Xenopus tropicalis: one gene and its partner. The protein of the gene in region 2 binds, or shares a complex with, the protein of the main gene of each other region. Links are inferred from orthologs where the notes say so. Each region holds a gene or a part of one and is shown on either strand. Other genes may lie near its edges.

The links. The genes of interacting proteins can lie anywhere in the genome.
Region 1: tmem67 (region 2) and tmem107 share a complex: the UniProt entries of both Homo sapiens proteins name them as parts of the tectonic-like complex. The link is inferred for Xenopus tropicalis from reciprocal best matches to the Homo sapiens genes TMEM67 and TMEM107.

The regions. Positions count from the first base shown.
Region 1 is NC_030679.2:144,534,219-144,540,761, reverse strand, and holds the start of tmem107 (transmembrane protein 107), read left to right. Parts: upstream 1-2,060; 5' UTR 2,061-2,167; exon of another isoform or gene 2,168-2,184; intron 2,185-6,543. UniProt on the Homo sapiens protein: Plays a role in cilia formation and embryonic patterning. Requires for normal Sonic hedgehog (Shh) signaling in the neural tube and acts in combination with GLI2 and GLI3 to pattern ventral and intermediate neuronal cell types.
Region 2 is NC_030682.2:127,745,958-127,751,879, reverse strand, and holds part of tmem67 (meckelin), read right to left. Parts: intron 5,730-5,922; coding exon 5,639-5,729; intron 5,127-5,638; coding exon 5,027-5,126; intron 4,593-5,026; coding exon 4,523-4,592; intron 3,967-4,522; coding exon 3,892-3,966; intron 3,803-3,891; coding exon 3,740-3,802; intron 3,068-3,739; coding exon 2,913-3,067; intron 2,827-2,912; coding exon 2,718-2,826; intron 2,466-2,717; coding exon 2,373-2,465; intron 2,113-2,372; coding exon 2,047-2,112; intron 1,381-2,046; coding exon 1,224-1,380; intron 575-1,223; coding exon 451-574; intron 1-450. UniProt on the Homo sapiens protein: Required for ciliary structure and function. Part of the tectonic-like complex which is required for tissue-specific ciliogenesis and may regulate ciliary membrane composition.

The DNA of each region.
Region 1 (6,543 bases), on a different chromosome or scaffold from region 2:
GCTACTCCCCCCCCAGTACACTCTCCTTACTACTTCCCACTGGGGCCTAGTACTGATCTAAGCACTTCTCTGCTGGTTTTTCTTTCACTGCCTTCCTCCCAGTGCGCTGCTGTTTCAGTATTTGCATTCCACTAGTTCAAGCTCCTCATCCTGCCGCTTACACTTAGTATCAACTTATTCCAACAGCTTCCTCCTTATAACTCTGTCCCCTGACTGCTTCATAGGAGAATCTTCTTCCATCAAAACCTCCTCAAGAAGAAGATCTTCATCTGCCATCTGATCTCCATCTGCTTCTCCCCACCATCTCCTTGATCCAACTGCTTCTTCCCTGAGAGACCTTCATCTCCTTCTTCCCACCATCTCCTTGATCCAACTGCTTCTTCCCTGAGAGACCTTCATCTCCTTCTTCCCACCATCTCCTTGATCCAACTGCTTCTTCCCTGAGAGACCTTCATCTCCTTCTTCCCACCATCTCCTTGATCCAACTGCTTCTTCCCTGAGAGACCTTCATCTCCTTCTTCCCACCATCTCCTTGATCCAACTGCTTCTTCCCCGAGAGACCTTGATCTCCTTCTTCCCACCATCTCCTTGATCCAACTGCTTCTTCCCTGAGAGACCTTCATCTCCTTCTTCCTACCATCTCCTTGATCCAACTGCTTCTTCCCTGAGAGACCTTCATCTGCTTCTCCCCACCATCTCCTTGATCCAACTGCTTCTTCCCTGAGAGACCTTCATCTGCTTCTTCCCACCATCTCCTTGATCCAACTGCTTCTTCCCAGAGAGACCTTCATCTGCTTCTCCCACGATCTCCTTGATCCAACGCTTCTTCCCTGAGAGACCTTCATCTGCTTCTCCCCAGTATCTCTTTCTATCGATCTATCAGTTTACCTTACTACACCTTCTCTCTCCCTCCTGCTGTTCTGATCAATCAGTAATCGGAACAATAGAAAGGCATTCGTAAGCCAGCCATACACGCACAGATGTTATCATCTCGTACAATATTCGGTGCGTGTATGGTGACTTGTAGAGGCGACCAATATCCCAGAGGCTGTGGATATCGGTTGAAGGCGCCATTGAAGGCGCCCGAGCAAAATCTACGTTCAGGGCTGAAGGAGGTAGAATTTCTATTGTTTCTACCTCCTTATCTGATGATTCAGCCCTGAACTTCAGCTACGTGTATGGCCACCTTTACTTGTATGCTCTCCATCCATTTGGCTTAGGGGCCACTCTTTGGAGAGCGTTCCAGATGGGCCAATGCCTGATTAGAAGATCTAGGCAGTTTGTTATACAGCCCTACACATTTTGGGGAGTGAAAGATAGCTATATCTGTGGGCCCCAGGGTCGGACTGGGGGGGGTGCAGGGCACACCAGGGCTCCCGCCCTAACCCCCCCAACCCCCCACAGGGTCCCCCACCCGACGTCCTCCCCTGAGCTCCCGTAAATTTAACGCCTCAGGGGAGGAACGGTCGGGCAGGGGGAGCGCCGGGATTTGTCCCGGTGTCCCAGCGGCCCAGTCCGACCCTGGTGGGCCCAGATAGTCAAGGGGTATGCACAGGGAGGTGCTGCTTCCCCCGCCCCCTGGAGGGTGGGAAAGAAACAATGTTTCAGGAGCCTAAACCACCTGTATAGAGGATATATAAATCCCTTGTGTAACTTCCCATGCAGTTAATTCCCTCACTGTGGGAAGTAAAGTCATAATGACGTCATTATACCCAGTAATATTCCCAGGGTGCATCAGGCCTGTAGTAAGAAGGTAGCGTGGCCGAGCGGTCTAAGGCGCTGGATTTAGGCTCCAGTCTCTCTGGAGGCGTGGGTTCGAATCCCACCGCTGCCAACTCAGCTTTTTATTTTCCCCCCTGCATCTATGGCTTGATATATTTTCGCTCGAACTGTAACTTCTTTTCGATTAGCCGCCATTGTGGAGGCTTTGCATCTATATATATGTTAGTTTGGGACAGGTTTCATAATCAGGGATGTGTCGTCGCTTTTACGACAAAGCGCTAAAACTTCCAGCTACAATAATGGCGGACTTGCCTTCTGCCCCATGTGACCGGGGCTCAGTAGGTGAATGGTCAGAATCTCCTGAATCCTGCGCGTTTTGGTTAGGACGCTGAGGGGTTGCTAGGCAACGGTAAGCGGCGGGTTTTCGGCTCGGAGATTGGAACGGGTAAGGGTTTTGTTCCAGTAAGTTACTGGTTTAACTGGTCTCTGCCCGGGGAATACTTTGTATGTGAGATATTTAATGGTTAATTTATACAGTATAAGTAGCTATAAAAGTCTGTATATATTATATGAGAGGGTTGCCGGCCTGTATATACAGTAATAGGAGTCAGGGAAGCCTGTATATATTATATGAGAGGGTTGCCGGCCTGTATATACAGTAATAGGAGTCAGGGAAGCCTGTATATATTATATGAGAGGGTTGCCGGCATGTATATACAGTAATAGGAGTCAGGGAAGCCTGTATATATTATATGAGAGGGTTGCCGGCATGTATATACAGTAATAGGAGTCAGGGAAGCCTGTATATATTATATGAGAGGGTTGCCGGCCTGTATATACAGTAATAGGGGTCAGGGAAGCCTGTATATATTATATGAGAGGGTTGCCGGCATGTATATACAGTAATAGGAGTCAGGGAAGCCTGTATATATTATATGAGAGGGTTACCGGCCTGTATATACAGTAATAGGAGTCAGGGAAGCCTGTATATATTATATGAGAGGGTTGCCGGCCTGTATATACAGTAATAGGAGTCAGGGAAGCCTGTATATATTATATGAGAGGGTTACCCGCCTGTATATACAGTAATAGGAGTCAGGGAAGCCTGTATATATTATATGAGAGGGTTGCCGGCCTGTATATACTGTAATAGGAGTCAGGGAAGCCTGGATATATTATATGAGAGGGTTGCCGGCCTGTATATACAGTAATAGGAGTCAGGGAAGCCTGGATATATTATATGAGAGGGTTACCGGCCTGTATATACAGTAATAGGAGTCAGGGAAGCCTGGATATATTATATGAGAGGGTTACCGGCCTGTATATACAGTAATAGGAGTCAGGGAAGCCTGTATATATTATATGAGAGGGTTACCGGCCTGTATATACAGTAATAGGAGTCAGGGAAGCCTGTATATATTATATGAGAGGGTTACCGGCCTGTATATACAGTAATAGGAGTCAGGGAAGCCTGTATATATTATATGAGAGGGTTGCCGGCCTGTATATACAGTAATAGGAGTCAGGGAAGCCTGTATATATTATATGAGAGGGTTACCGGCCTGTATATACAGTAATAGGAGTCAGGGAAGCCTGTATATATTATATGAGAGGGTTGCCGGCCTGTATATACAGTAATAGGAGTCAGGGAAGCCTGGATATATTATATGAGAGGGTTACCGGCCTGTATATACAGTAATAGGAGTCAGGGAAGCCTGTATATATTATATGAGAGGGTCCCTGGCCTGTATATACAGTAATAGGAGTCAGGGAAGCCTGTATATATTATATGAGAGGGTTGCCGGCCTGTATATACAGTAATAGGGGTCAGGGAAGCCTGTATATATTATATGAGAGGGTTGCCGGCATGTATATACAGTAATAGGAGTCAGGGAAGCCTGTATATATTATATGAGAGGGTTACCGGCCTGTATATACAGTAATAGGAGTCAGGGAAGCCTGTATATATTATATGAGAGGGTCCCTGGCCTGTATATACAGTAATAGGAGTCAGGGAAGCCTGTATATATTATATGAGAGGGTTGCCGGCCTGTATATACAGTAATAGGGGTCAGGGAAGCCTGTATATATTATATGAGAGGGTTGCCGGCATGTATATACAGTAATAGGAGTCAGGGAAGCCTGTATATATTATATGAGAGGGTTACCGGCCTGTATATACAGTAATAGGAGTCAGGGAAGCCTGGATATATTATATGAGAGGGTTGCCGGCCTGTATATACAGTAATAGGAGTCAGGGAAGCCTGTATATATTATATGAGAGGGTTACCCGCCTGTATATACAGTAATAGGAGTCAGGGAAGCCTGTATATATTATATGAGAGGGTTGCCGGCCTGTATATACTGTAATAGGAGTCAGGGAAGCCTGGATATATTATATGAGAGGGTTGCCGGCCTGTATATACAGTAATAGGAGTCAGGGAAGCCTGGATATATTATATGAGAGGGTTACCGGCCTGTATATACAGTAATAGGAGTCAGGGAAGCCTGTATATATTATATGAGAGGGTTACCGGCCTGTATATACAGTAATAGGAGTCAGGGAAGCCTGTATATATTATATGAGAAGGTTGCCGGCCTGTATATACAGTAATAGGAGTCAGGGAAGCCTGTATATATTATATGAGAGGGTTACCGGCCTGTATATACAGTAATAGGAGTCAGGGAAGCCTGTATATATTATAAGAGAGGGTTGCCGGCCTGTATATACAGTAATAGGAGTCAGGGAAGCCTGGATATATTATATGAGAGGGTTACCGGCCTGTATATACAGTAATAGGAGTCAGGGAAGCCTGTATATATTATATGAGAGGGTCCCTGGCCTGTATATACAGTAATAGGAGTCAGGGAAGCCTGTATATATTATATGAGAGGGTTGCCGGCCTGTATATACAGTAATAGGGGTCAGGGAAGCCTGTATATATTATATGAGAGGGTCCCTGGCCTGTATTTACAGTAATAGGAGTCAGGGAAGCCTGTATATATTATATGAGAGGGTTACCGGCCTGTATATACAGTAATAGGAGTCAGGGAAGCCTGGATATATTATATGAGAGGGTCCCTGGCCTGTATATACAGTAATAGGAGTCAGGGAAGCCTGTATATATTATATGAGAGGGTTACCGGCCTGTATATACAGTAATAGGAGTCAGGGAAGCCTGTATATATTATATGAGAGGGTCCCTGGCCTGTATATACAGTAATAGGAGTCAGGGAAGCCTGTATATATTATATGAGAGGGTCCCTGGCCTGTATATACAGTAATAGGAGTCAGGGAAGCCTGGATATATTATATGAGAGGGTTACCGGCCTGTATATACAGTAATAGGAGTCAGGGAAGCCTGGATATATTATATGAGAGGGTCCCTGGCCTGTATATACAGTAATAGGAGTCAGGGAAGCCTGTATATATTATATGAGAGGGTCCCTGGCCTGTATATACAGTAATAGGAGTCAGGGAAGCCTGTATATATTATATGAGAGGGTCCCTGGCCTGTATATACAGTAATAGGAGTCAGGGAAGCCTGTATATATTATATGAGAGGGTTACCGGCCTGTATATACAGTAATAGGAGTCAGGGAAGCCTGTATATATTATATGAGAGGGTTACCGGCCTGTATATACAGTAATAGGAGTCAGGGAAGCCTGGATATATTATATGAGAGGGTCCCTGGCCTGTATATACAGTAATAGGAGTCAGGGAAGCCTGTATATATTATATGAGAGGGTTACCGGCCTGTATATACAGTAATAGGAGTCAGGGAAGCCTGTATATATTATATGAGAGGGTCCCTGGCCTGTATATACAGTAATAGGAGTCAGGGAAGCCTGTATATATTATATGAGAGGGTCCCTGGCCTGTATATACAGTAATAGGAGTCAGGGAAGCCTGGATATATTATATGAGAGGGTTACCGGCCTGTATATACAGTAATAGGAGTCAGGGAAGCCTGGATATATTATATGAGAGGGTCCCTGGCCTGTATATACAGTAATAGGAGTCAGGGAAGCCTGGATATATTATATGAGAGGGTTGCCGGCCTGTATATACAGTAATAGGAGTCAGGGAAGCCTGTATATATTATATGAGAGGGTTGCCGGCCTGTATATACAGTAATAGGAGTCAGGGAAGCCTGGATATATTATATGAGAGGGTCCCTGGCCTGTATATACAGTAATAGGAGTCAGGGAAGCCTGGATATATTATATGAGAGGGTCCCTGGCCTGTATATACAGTAATAGGAGTTAGGGAAGCCTGGATATATTATATGAGAGGGTTACCGGCCTGTATATACAGTAATAGGAGTCAGGGAAGCCTGGATATATTATATGAGAGGGTTGCCGGCCTGTATATACAGTAATAGGAGTCAGGGAAGCCTGTATATATTATATGAGAGGGTTACTGGCCTGTATATACAGTAATAGGAGTCAGGGAAGCCTGGATATATTATATGAGAGGGTTACCGGCCTGTATATACAGTAATAGGAGTCAGGGAAGCCTGGATATATTATATGAGAGGGTTGCCGGCCTGTATATACAGTAATAGGAGTCAGGGAAGCCTGGATATATTATATGAGAGGGTTGCCGGCCTGTATATACAGTAATAGGAGTCAGGGAAGCCTGGATATATTATATGAGAGGGTTGCCGGCCTGTATATACAGTAATAGGAGTCAGGGAAGCCTGGATATATTATATGAGAGGGTTGCCGGCCTGTATATACAGTAGTAGGTGTCAGGGAAGCCTGGATATATTATATGAGAGGGTTGCCGGCCTGTATATACAGTAATAGGAGTCAGG
Region 2 (5,922 bases):
ACACCCCCTACTTGCACCTGCTCGGCCTGGCACAAGGCATTTTGCCCAAGTGCTTCATTTATGAAGCTCTATGACGTTCAATAAGTGCTCAAGCACTAGTGCTGTACCAGTAGTAAATTACCTTTAGAGTGCTTGATTCAATAATGTACTTCCAACACTGGTGTCCTGATCTTGATTCTGAACTAAGCACTATCCAAAAGAGTCTGAATGTTAGTAGGCTAATTAATTGGCTCTGCAATAAGTAAGCAGTCTCTGTAAAGCCCTGCATAAACTTGTAAGCATTCTACAAATAAAGCATAATAACAATAATTCAAATAAATTAACCATGATACTAATACTTTTTTTTATACTCTCTCTTGTACTATCTTCAAGCTTATAAAAATGTAATGCGCAATAACATGACAAACTTGTGCTAAAATTTGTGCTATTGTGCTAAAATTTACACTCTACCTGATTGTGATTTTGCTAGCCACTCTAATGAGCCTTGGAGGATCGGCCAGAGAATTTTCTCGCCCACTAATAGTATCCACCAGGAAGATTCGGCGAGTCAAGAGCCAGTTGTTGATGTTGTCTCCTGTAACAAGACAAATTATGTTTAGTGAAGGGGAAGTAAAATTCTACGCCAATAGTGCCCCAACCTGAAGCCCTAGCTGAACTAAAAGTTCCACTACCCCCCCCAAGAGTGTCACTGTTTGGAATTCCTAGTGCTGTTTATCTGCCTACTACCGAAAGAGAAGTGGCAAAACACCAGCCTTTTGTAAAAATATGAGACACATTCAAATAAACAAAGTGCAAGGTTGACACAACAGTAATATTGGTGATAAAAATGTTTGCCAAGGGTTGTCAAATCAACACTATAACTGGCTGTAAGCTAGTATAATGTGGACTGCTAGGCTATCTTTGTGTCTATAACACTGGTGCATCACAGACATCCTGCAGTACCATCAGGACTGCATTGGCTTTAAGCAACACCATCCCATGGGACAGTAAGCCGCTAATTTTGGATCAAAAAATTATACCTTGTTAAATTACATATTATGTAATTTTGATACTGGTTAAAAAATACAACACATATTTTAAAATGTGCAGTTTAAACAGTGTAATTAGAAATAAGAAGTACACCATAAAAATCATGACAAAATCCCTTTAAAGGGATCCCATCTAATTGAACTGGTTTATGTATAATCACATACATCAATCATATAAATGTCCATAGAATGTACCTTGGTTAACAAACATTTCATGGTACTGGAGGTTCAGGTTCAGGACTGGCACAGGAAGGAGATTCTGCTGCTTCTCATTCCCTGGGTAGGCCAGATACACATCATAGAACACAGGCTCGGGGTGGTCACGCAGGAGCTTAGAAACACTAATTCTACACTGCAAAGGAATGATATGACCAAGTGAACACGGGTAGCAAAATATACTGTGTGTGTATGTGTAGTTATGTATCTCTTTGTGGGCACACAGGAACACACACACATAAATACACATACTGCCCAGTTGCAATGTACTGTACATGCAAGTATAAATAAGGATTAGGTGTCCAAACTGGTTTCCACTGAAAGCCATTGCTACAGTACATTCCAAAAGAAGATACATTGGTAAAGTGGCAGCTCCTTATTCTTTACTTTCAGCTGGATCCTAATTAGAAACATCTCACTAAACAAACAGGACATAAAACTGCTTAAAGGGGCACTATGCCTAAATACACTTTTTTTCAACATAAGCCAACTAAGGCCAATGACAGACGAGGATAAATCTCCTCTAGCGGCAGCGACTAATCTCGTTTAACTTAATGAAGTTATATATTTGCCTTTTCTTTCAATTATTGTTAATTATGAAGCACATATAGATTATTTTGTTTTTATGCATCGCTTCGGCTTTCCGAAGTCACAGAATATACAAGTTCCAATGAGTCGTGTGAGAGAAATTACATCACTAAGCACCGATTGTAGCTGATGACATCATTAAGTACTATTTATAAGAATATAATTTACAGGATATTTATTTGCTCTTGTATTTAGAGATATATTTAATGCTTACTTCTTGTTTATACGTTGTTCCAAAGCTGAAAGCAGCATCTATCCTGGCCACAATATCAGGACACAACTGCAAGGAAAAAAAAAAATTGTGCAGTGGGTGAGTTTGGTGTTTTGGGGTGGGAAATGTATCCCTTACTGAACAGTTCCCTTACATTTAAATGCAGAGCTGGGCTTAGTACCACAGAATAAGAATGCTGACATATCTATTGTACTGCTCTGTACTGATGATGATAACGTTCTTCTCTGAAGTGTCATGTCACCATCTACTACATTGCGGCCCCATATCTCTTGATCTATAAATTTTCATAAAAATAAAAATGTAAATACCTGCAGTAGTCCTCCAGCCAATGATTGCCATTTTATAAAATTCCCTCGAACGTCATACACAGCCGCTAGAAACTGCAGTTTGGTATTTTCTACCTAGGAAGGAAGCACATCAGATTCCTATTTGTATCTGTGGGCTGCCTGGGACTGTCACATACAGGGTATATTTCTACATTGCCACCATGATACAAAAAGTGCCACAGAACCAATGTTGAATCACTTATACATTTGTAATTCAAATGCTGCAAAAGAATCCATCCATGCATAAATATTAGAACAAGCTGTTCAGCTTTCCATTGTAATGGGCCAGTGTCTCACTCCAGCTCAATTTTGGTGGCCTTTTCATACCTCCTCACTTTCTTTAAAAGTATAGCTTGTGGGAACTGGAGAGGACACAAGAGTCCTGGAAGCCAGTCCAGGCTGGTCACCATAGAAGAGCCATGGCAGATTTGTTCGCCTGTAGAAGACATGATATTTACTCTTGTAAATTTTCCAGTGGGCAGTGCTTTTTTTTTTCTACCAACAAAAAGAAAACACACTTGCCAGTATGAAAGGGAATGGATAACTCCTAGACCTGCTGTGCTTGTAAATATGTACTGGAACAGACCGCAAGCGTCAGCACTGGAAATACTTGTAGAATGCATGTTCATGACACACATGTTCCCCAGAGCTTGGCATGATGTTTGATTACTGTACATCTATGGACGGAAGAGAAATAAAGGCACCATGTTACAAGCTCTTCTGCAATTCAGTTAAACTATATTTTGTAGAAGGTCTTACATCTAATGTAACACTTTGGGCAGATTTATCAACATTGATTTTTTTTTGTGTTTGTTTTTATTTTTGTGGTTTAAGAGGTTTTTGAAACCACAAATAAACTATTTTCCGCTAAACCCACAAATGTCTAGTCATTTATTAAAACACTGTATCACAAATAATTACGTTTGCCATTTGTTTGCATTTTCTAATTTGTATCCGTTTTCTAAAACCTAAGCTTTATGCTTAGCATGAGTTCAGCTACTAAGTAACTATCAACTTATGTATCAAATTGAAACAATTAAAAAAAGTCACTGATCTGACTCAATGAGCTTCTTCTGGGAAACAGGAGAAGGGTAAAAAAACCAAATTTGTCAAAACTCACATTTTCGAAAAAGCAAATGTATCTAGCAAGGGCCAAACATCACAAAGATAAAGGCTTGTTGCCAGACAGATCACTGCAGGGCCCCATTATAATCTGATAATTGCTTTGCACTAAAAAAAATGAAATCATCCTTATTTGGCCCACGATTTCACTGGGCAAATCAAGTAAAGATCCAATTGTTTGACAACCTTGCCAGCTTTAGAAAAAAAGCTATTTAAGAGAATCTTACCAGACAAGCTGCAGCCGATGCTTGCAAATGCGTGGCAAACCATTCTGATCGCAATATCAAACCCTTAAAGAAAAAAGGTTAGATACATTCTCAGGGTTTCCTACTTTATGTAAATTTGCAAGCAAACACATCAACACAATATAGGGTCTCACCAGTTGGCTGTAATGAACAGTCAGAAGAGCTTTGGACAGGATACTCCCCGCTGCATTATAGCATATGCCTCCAGTCTAGAAAATATGTAAGTAAATAAAAAAAATGTTGCATGAGCTTCTATTTTTCACTGGACACATTTTCAAATTTGAGCAAAATCCACAAAAAAATTACATCATAAGAAAGTTGTCACCTTCAATTGCCCACTGCTCTAAAGTCATATGACTTTAAAGAAGAACTAAACCCCCCAGGAACAAAAGCCCCCCTCAACTGCTCTCCATCGCCCCCCTTCACCTCTCCCTTCTCGCACAGCCTATTACTTTGAAAAGTTTGTGTAGCCAAGAGGAGGCAGAAGCTGAACTTGTCAATTAATTTTTACTGAAGTGTGTAAGGGATCAGATTCACTTCTCTCAGTCTGCAAAAAACTGCAGGCTAAGAGCAGCGGAGCAAATGCTCTGTGTGCTCTCAGCCTAACAGTCAGGCTTTGGTTTAGCCAGGCACTTGGGATTTAACAATATCTTGCAAAAGCGTTGAGGTTCTGCAAATTCTCAACAGAAACCTGAATTTGGCAAGTCCCTAATACATAGTGAGTGCTAGTTACAGTTGCGCTATGACCCTAAATGACTTTCTTACCATAATATTTGGCTGGTTACAGCTGCATGAGTTACTCCTGTTGATAACCGTGTGATGGCACCGTTCACACCTAGACATACAAAAAGAGCAAAATATTAGAGCAATGAAAACATACACAAACTCAGGTAGAATAACTGCGCAAACCACTGGTACAAACATACACAATGGCAATCTGTATATTCTGGCAAATGCTGTAACATTCTATAGACAGTCAATTTTTATTGAGACTGTTTTCAGCTGTTTGGGCATCACTTTACTTAACATGGCAGGGCCTAGAGCACAAAGAAATGTAAAAATATGCCTCTTAGAGCACATTTACACTGCACATGCTAGTACCCACAAGTAACTACAGTACCCACAAGTGCACTTTAATGGTTTCAAGTGATTACCATTAAAGTCAATTAAGGGTCAATTAACAGCATTTTGCCACTTACCAAGCTGGAAATCATACAGACAGCAAAACATTGTGACTTCTTGATAATAATATGGGTTAAGTAAACTCACCTGTTTCCTAGGGTGTTGGCAGCAGTGAAGGAAGGTTCAGTCCCATCGCAGTCAATGCATTCTGCTTCTAACAGCAAGGAGCCATTCACATCTCTTTCCACTAAAATACAAATTATGTGCTATATTACTCTGCCTGTGATTTTGTGACAAGTGCATTTTAACTGTCCATGTATGCCTCCATGTGAGGGACACAACATGCTAGCTGGAAAAGGAACGCTGGAACTGTTCACATCTTCTGGAAATGAACACTTTATCATTATTGGAAAGGGATTGCATAAACCTTGGCATGTAGCCACTGAATTAATCTTGACTGGTACATGGGGTATCTGTAGATGTGCAAGAATCTGCTTTTACAGCTCATCACTGGCTTTATATATCTCCATCGGAGAAAGACTGCACATTTGAATGTTTTTTCCATGAAAATAAGTTGTGTCATTATAGCTACTGTCAAGCAGTACAGTTGGATTCTGGAGCTGCATATGCATCTTTTTTATGGATGGAATTAGAGAACTTTACCTACAATTTTAGTCAACCAAACTCCTTAGCACAGGATTGGAGAAGAGCATGGATAAGTAGGCACCAGTTTATTAAAATGCAAAATATCCTACTTACCCAAAATGTTTCCTGGAGGACAGAGGCAATTCCCATTTGAGTTCAGCCCATTGGGGCATTTAATACAACTCCATCCATCTGCTGTTACACCCTATAATGATTTTAGTCAAAGAAGACAAAATCAAAACAGTTAGACACTTCTTAAGAGGGAAATGCTACCCTTTCTAGGGTTTCATATACTTTCCAGAAATGTTAAGTAAAATGTATTGGTATATATTCCTCCCAGGGAGACCTAATTATCTGCCTATTTCTCTGGGAGCATTGCTATTATTGGGGAGCTAAAC